Danio rerio: one gene and its partner. The main gene of each other region encodes a partner of the protein of the gene in region 2 in a complex. Links are inferred from orthologs where the notes say so. Each region holds a gene or a part of one and is shown on either strand. Other genes may lie near its edges. The genes, in order: tnpo3 and cpsf6.

Region 1 (3,830 bases), about 12 Mb from region 2:
TTTAAAATGATTAAAGATCTACAAAGCAATATTTCAGTGAATTTAAGACTTTAAGGCCTAAAATGTAAATTTTGAAATTTAGGACATTAAGACCCCACAGATACTCTGGTGAAAATAGAAACATCCCAATGAATGTTTTAGGAGAAAACAAGTCAATGAATGGGGGGGAGGGTGAAAATATTGGATTCGTTCGAGTTGTCATAGGTTGTTATCATTTTTGCAACACTTTATTTATGCCAAAGATGTTAGGTGGGCACACATACATTACCAAATCAATGCTTTTAATTAAACTACTTTTATAGTGATAGCTGCTTTCAAAACACTGCTTCAAGAAGCTTTGAAACCTTTCAGAATCTTCCATTTCGAATCTGTGGTTTTGGAGCATGCATCAAATTTGCAAGTTAATATTTAATGGTTTTGTTCTATAATATTAATGGTAATATTCTAACATTTAATGATTCTCCAGCTGGGGGTGATCTGTGTAATGCCATAAAGGCCAGTGGTAAATTACTGAACCTTTTTTTTTTGCTTTTAAAAGTTTGAAGACATTTGTAAAATGATTTCCCAGTGCTGGGTTGCAGTTGGAAGGGTATCGGTTGCGTTTAACGTATGCCGGAAAAATTAGCAGTTCATTCCGCTGTGGAAAATGAATGAATGCATTTGTAAATTGAAAAGGAATAATAGTTACTAGTCTCTTCTCTTGTTGGCCTGTTCAGCAGAGCCCACCATGCAAAAAAAAAAATCTATATATACGCCTTTAAAATGTGTATTATGCAGACAAGTTTGTAATAACACGTTTTTATTTATTATTTTGACCACCGGGTCTCTCTAGGTGTTTTAAATGCTTCGAAATACATTTTGCAAAGCAACTGGTTCAACTTTTTTGAAACGAAATCTTAATTTCCTCCATCACTATTGTTTCGTCCACATTTACTGATAAAAATGTATAAAAGTCTAGCATTTTCAAATGGAAGGGATACTCATTTATGCTGCGCACTGTGTTTGTATTCACTTTATACATTAAAAATCATTTGAACTAGAGCTGCAGGATATTAGAAAAATCTGATATTGCAATATTTTATTTTTCTGCGATAAGTTTAACAAGATCTAGTTTAAAAAGCACTGTTTGACAGTTTTTCTGGCGAGTCTGAACAGTATTCAGGTACAGAAATGCAATAATCCCAATGCAAAACATGCTTTTCTTATTTTGCTTAGTCTCATTTCTAGTCCAAATATCTAAAAATTCTTAGATCAAGTCAAATAGTTTTGTTTTCAACTTTGGAAATTAGGCAAAATTAAGAGTTTTTCCTTAAAACAAGCTAAATTAAGTCAAATAATCTTGTTTTTGCTCTAAAATGTGAATATTTGGACTAGAAAAATATTGAAAAATAAAGAAAAACTTTTTGGGGGGGGATAAATCGTATACATTTCTATATAAATGCAGTAATTAAATCAATTCTGAAGCTCCTGGTGAACATTATTCAGACTCATCGAGTATCTCGCGATTGGTGATGCACATATTGCGATGTCAATGCCGAAACAGTATATTGTGCAGCCCTAATTTGAATAAACATAGAAAAGACACATTCAATGTTATGCACAATACACTGACAAATTGTTTCATTTTCCTCTCTCTCTCTCACCTGGTCTTGCAGCATCAGCAGGTAGAAGACAGCTATCGGTACAGCCTGGTAAACTCTCTTATGGCCCAACAAACCTGTTTACATTCCTCTGCACTATGGTGACAGATTTACAGAAAGGCAGAAAATTATCATCACATTTCAACAGAACTAAACAACAAGATGGCCTGCTATTTTAAAATCAACTCGCGAGCACGCCATAAGCATGCGCGAGCAATAAATCAGTCATTTTGGCGTGGGTTGGACTTTCCACGCAAGTCTATGACTCATCCTGCACTCACTATAAGAGTTTGTATTTGGCATCTCAGGTCAAGACTTGCAGAGGAACGACATACTTCACCCTCCTGGACGACTGGTTATTGGTGCTTGTTTAGGCTTGTTGTGTAGAGTAAACCACAGAGTAATCTGAACGTGCACTAACTTGCAATAGGCCAAGATACAAATGCTGCCTGTAATCTACACTGATGAGTCCCGTATTACTTTTAATTGTGGACAACAGCTCTTTTAATCATGGCCATTTTGTTTGGGAGTGTAATGTAATTGCGATGAATGCATCCTAATGCGTCTGGTGTGCTTTGAAGAGTCATTGTGACGGCAGGAACAGACGGACTCACCTCGTGACCTGCTTGTGGAAGTCAGTGAGCTGTTTGTGTGTGACGGTGACAGCGCCCCCTGCTGTTTCTTTAGGAAGACCCTTAAGTGTGGTTTCCAGCCAGCGACAAAACGTCTACAAGCACAGGAAAGAACGTGTATGAGCATTTTATAATATCACAGACTCATTTATGACAAAATAATACATATTAAAAAAAATCTACAAATGTATGAAGTGGTTTAAATAGGAATAGTGACAAAAAGGATCAATAAAAAATGGTAAATACAAATAAAATATCATTAAATTAGATTTTAAAAAAAGACAAGAAAAATTCAGGATAATTTTAATATTGCTATGAAAAAATATTTTAATTAAAAAAACTGATGAAATATGTATAATCATATAAACCATTATAAAACTCAATGAAAAACCTCATAAAAAACTAAATCCTTCACATAACTAAATATACAGTACATAAAATAAAGAAAAAATATATTTTTTCATCTTATTCATTTTATTTAAAATATTTATCAAAACTAAATTAATTGATTAAAACAAAAATCAAAAATCTTGAATGTAATAAGTCACTTTATATAAAAACTACCAGATGAAAGTCATAAACAGAAACCTTGTATATACATATTTTGTCATTTTTTTCGTCCATATTTTAATGTCATTCTTCACTCTTTATGTCTTCCTGTGGGTTTCACAAATATTTAAAATCAAAGAAAAATGTATTAAAAATGAACAAAAATGTATCCTACTGCTAAAAATGCTCCAAGTATAGTTCACCCACGGCAAAAAGGTTTAAATGTCCAAGATATTTTAGCCAAAATCGAGCAGCGACATAGCTTTAAGAACTTTTAAGTTTTAAGAAATAAGTTTACAACAAGTGTACAAGATATTTTAGCCAAAAACTGAGCAGTTTCAAGAGGTTTTAAGCCAGGGATGTCAAACTCAGTCCTGGAGGGCCAGTGTGCTGGAGAGTTTAACTACAACCCTAATCACACATCTGAACCAGCTAATCAAGCTCTTACTAGATAAAGGCTGCGTCCAAAACCACCTACTATGTAAATATATTACTCGGTCATTAGAAAAGTACAATCCATACAGTATCAATGGAATTGGACGTACTACATCCATCATTTTGTCATGATCACATGACCTACCCGATGAGTTGCGCCGCTTCACTCCCATTCATGAATTCTCTCGCTGGGGATCATGGGACAGTACATCGTGCATCATGCAAATTTCAGAATCTCACCGGAAATAGCAAGTCATCCGGGTACTTCTTGCATACTGATTTTCAAACTCTGACATACTACTCGGCTCCCATATTGTTATTACCATACCGAATAGTATGGAAGTATGCGATTTTGGACGCAGCCATACTAGATTAACTAGAAACTTTGTTGAAGTAAGTTGAAGCTAAACTCAGCAGGACACTGGCCCTCCAGAACAAAGTTTGGACACCACTGTTTTAAGCTATACGCTTACAACATCTATTAATACATATATAATGAACTTGACTTTTTGCCTCAGGTGCAGCTGTTGTAATAAATGAACAAAACATTCTTGCAACCCTTATTTCTGACAAA
Region 2 (3,830 bases):
CTTCCCCTTAAAAAGATGGGTGGGACGTGTCAAATATATGCATTTGATTGGCCAGCAGATTTGATAAAAAAAAAAATCCATTTAAGATAAAGTGACAATCTGCAACTTTTTATGTTTTTATCTTGTAAATGTAAATTTTATCACTGTTTTGGAGCACACTAGACTATAGATATCCTTAAAACTAACATCTAATGTTAATTTTGATTTCACGGGGACTTTAAACTTACTGAATGAGAATAGCGTTGCTGTATGTGTGCTGCAGTTTAGAAGAGTGTGTTTTGGTCCACGCAGGCACACAGTCAGGACAGATGTCAGGAGAGGGGAAGGCTGGTCCTCCAGGCTCAGGATCTCGAGGTGGAGGATTCCCTCCTGGCAAAGGTCAGAGACGCTTTCCTGGCCCACCTGGACAAGGAGACCGCTTCCCTGGACCGGTTGGACCTGGCGGTCCTCCACCACACTTCCCAGGTATAAGCTTGAACAGGAGTGAACTTTTGAATTGTCAGTATATACATCAGAACTAACAGCTATTATTATAGGTCTGCAATGGGAGGAAACAAATAGGACTGTAATTTGTTCTATCAGTTGTTGGATCTATAACAACTGATAGAGAAGATTTAATAATGCAAGTTTCTACAACATTATACAGACTTAAAGTAGAGGGTAAAAATGTACATTTTTGTTGTGGACCGGCACATATTGGAATAATGGGAAATAAAATTGGCAGATAAATTGGCAAAAAGAATCATTGAAGAAAAATCAAGTAGATGTTAAAGTACCTTTGGGAAGGAATGAAATGAGATCAGTAATTAATAAGGAAATAACAAATATTTGGCAACAATATTTGGTCTGAAAACTGATGCTCTGAGGTGAATGGGTCACTTTTCAAGTGAATCAGAAAAAGTTGATCAATTGTCCTAAATCAAGAATGGGTGATGTTTAATGTTCACCACAAAACTAGCAGTGTGAGCTCCCAAAATCATACGGTTAGTTTTGATTTCATGTGTATTTTTGTAATCCCTTCTCCTCTCTGCTTCAAAATGTAATGCATCAAATCTTCTTGCAGGTATGCAGGGCCCACCACGTCTTCCCTCTGGCCCACCTGGGCCCCTGGGACCTCCAGGCCCCCCTCCACCTGGACAAGGTCTGCCTCCTCCCCTCGGCGGACCCCCTAACAGAGGAGACCGTCCTCCTCCACCTGTCTTGTTTCCTGGTCAGTTCGGGCAACCCCCAATGGGCCCGATGCCTCCTGGGCCTCCCCCACCAGGATACGGGCCTCCCCCAGGCCCCCCTCCACCTCAGCAGGGACCACCCCCTCCAGGACCCTTCCCTCCCCGTCCACCTGGGCCCTTAGGACCCCCGCTTGGCCTCGCACCCCCACCACACATGCAGGGACCCCCACCTGGAGGCCCACCGCCGGCTCCTCACGTCAACCCGGCCTTCTTCCCACCACCTGGAAACAACATGCCATCATCTGACGGCAGAGGACCCCCACCTGGAGACCCGTACGGCCGCCCACCTCCTTATGACAGAGACTTCCCTGGTGGCAGGTAATAAACACATCGCCCACAACTACACCTATACTCTAAAAAGCCCGAAGTGTATGTGCACAGTTAAATGAACAGTCTTACTATAGTATGCTGTGATGGCATGCTCACTACAACAGATAACACTGCAAATATGCATTCAATTGTTTTTCATTGGAAGCACATTTAGATGTAATTTAATCATTTCACATTACATTTTAATATTGACAGCCATAACTTGATAACATTTTATAAATATTAAAAAATAAGTGAAGTTTCACAAACTAATTTCTAGAAGAGCACGTGATATGATCAACTAGAGCTGATCCTCATCACTGATCATTAGCTAGCCTATCAGATCATTCCAAAACTACTATGAATATCCTGCCTAAACTCCGTTCCCTGTCTTCGTTTTTGGCAAACCCCCTTCTATCCTTCCCTTCTCCTTCCTCGTTAATTATATGATAGGGCAACAGGGTGGCTCAATGGCTGGCGCTGCTGCCTCGCAGTGGGAGGGCCAAAGGTTCAAGTTCTAATTGAGCCAGTCGTTACTCTCTGCCATGAGTTTGCATGTTCACCCTGTGTTCCCGTATGTTTTCCTCGGGTACTCCGGTTTCCTCCAACAGTCTTAAAACATGTACATAAGCGAACTGTAAAGTCATAAGCACTTAACGCATACATACTGAATCAGTCAGAACCACCATATTAACCATAGTATAAAACAAACGAGAGGGCTCTCGAAGAATACCCGATCTCCTATCCAAACTAATGCTCATTGACCAAACGGGAACCTTGTGCTCTTCGATTTGAGATTCAGGTTCTCTCCTGGGACAGCATGCCAAACCTGCTATCATAGTTAAGCATTGTCTAAGTGTGAACTCCTAAATGTATTTATATATTGTTACGTGTTAATGATGTTAAATAATTAAAAGGATGATACGTAACAATCAGTGAGTCCATTGATGCTGGGTGAATAAGGAGAAGACACAAACGCTTGATAAGTGAAACAAAAAGTAAGTATTTATTAATGGATAATGTCAAACAATGAATATGAGATGGAAGATAAATGTAATTTTAAATAATTGAATTAAATAAAGAAAAATAGGAGTGTTGCCAAAACAAAGAAATAAATATAACAAAACGATCTAACTAAACCCCAACCCACTAAACTGACTGATCAAAGAAAAATGCAGAAACAAAACAGTAATCTTCAGCACGTAGCTTAACTAAACTTCATAACTCCCAAACATAATTACACATGAGGCAACGCCTCCAAAAACGAACTAATACAAAGTTATACTAAGCTGCTCGAAATACTAGAATTCTTGTAAAGTACAGACTGTTAGCCATTAGCAAAACAAGATCTCAGGTAATCCAATTCTCATAAAGATCGTTCATATTCTCACTATACATTAACCTGAGCAGCACAAGTTTAACTGATAAATCCATATCAACAAAGAGAAAACTAGAACACAGCACTCGCAAACAAACCAAGCGGAACAAACAAGTCAACAGTTTGAGAGATTGACAGGCCAAGCGCTCCTCCAGAACAGCGCAAGCGCACCGGTTTTATACTGCGCGGACCCAATCCTTATTAGCGCCGATTGAGTGACGAAGGTGAATGACAGCTCACTCGACCAATGGTAGCACACCTGAAACAGGATAGGACCACTGCGAGAGAGAGAGAGAGAGAGAGAGAGAAGAGCGCAAAGCAGAAAACAACAAAAATACCACAAAACATACGTGAAACGTAACTATTTTTTTAAACCTGTCTATCTTGCATTTGGATGGTATTTCCTTTTATTTTGGTGTCGCTTTAGTTTTTAGTTGCTGAAATGTCTGTGCCTCACTTTGATTTAACATGTGATGCAATGTGATTCAGCACTAACGACCACTGCAGCTCTTTGTGTGAATTCGATCCCTGAAGCATTACGCTTCGCTCTGACTCGTGCTTTTAGTTTGCGCGTGTTCATTAATCAGCATTTTGTGTGCTTCAGGGACATGGATGCGTCTCGCACTCCCCTGAGCGAAGCTGAGTTTGAGGAGATCATGAACCGGAACAGAGCGATTTCCAGCAGCGCTATTTCAAGGGCCGTTTCTGATGCCAGTGCAGGTGTGGAGATCATTACACCCAGCACAAATATGAGGTGTGGTGTGTTGTGAATTAACCGTTTCCGTTTCTGCAGCTGATTACGGCAGTGCTATAGAGACTCTGGTGACGGCCATCTCTCTGATCAAGCAGTCGAAGGTTTCTGCTGACGACCGCTGCAAAGTTCTCATCAGCTCACTGCAGGACTGCTTGCATGG

What was found.
Region 1: the proteins of cpsf6 (region 2) and tnpo3 are in contact, whole or in part, in a crystal structure (PDB 6GX9), measured with the Homo sapiens proteins. The link is inferred for Danio rerio from reciprocal best matches to the Homo sapiens genes CPSF6 and TNPO3. Residues at the interface, in NP_008938.2 of Homo sapiens: Tyr521, Arg522, Glu523, Arg524, Ser525, Glu527, Arg528; in NP_036602.1 of Homo sapiens: Arg620, Asn656, Arg657, Glu660, Arg661, Arg664, Arg667, Phe668, Arg671, Ser698, Cys699, Tyr702, Ile706, Asp709, Asp747, Asp750, Asp751, Arg754, Arg758, Gln761, Cys793, Arg797.

What each region holds. Positions count from the first base shown.
Region 1 is NC_133179.1:14,176,040-14,179,869, reverse strand, and holds part of tnpo3 (transportin-3), read right to left. Parts: intron 2,368-3,830; coding exon 2,255-2,367; intron 1,737-2,254; coding exon 1,676-1,736; 3' UTR 1,644-1,675; intron 1-1,643. UniProt on the Homo sapiens protein: Importin, which transports target proteins into the nucleus. Specifically mediates the nuclear import of splicing factor serine/arginine (SR) proteins, such as RBM4, SFRS1 and SFRS2, by recognizing phosphorylated SR domains.
Region 2 is NC_133179.1:2,380,827-2,384,656, reverse strand, and holds part of cpsf6 (cleavage and polyadenylation specificity factor subunit 6), read left to right. Parts: intron 1-291; coding exon 292-465; intron 466-1,063; coding exon 1,064-1,547; intron 1,548-3,520; coding exon 3,521-3,636; intron 3,637-3,709; coding exon 3,710-3,830. UniProt on the Homo sapiens protein: Component of the cleavage factor Im (CFIm) complex that functions as an activator of the pre-mRNA 3'-end cleavage and polyadenylation processing required for the maturation of pre-mRNA into functional mRNAs.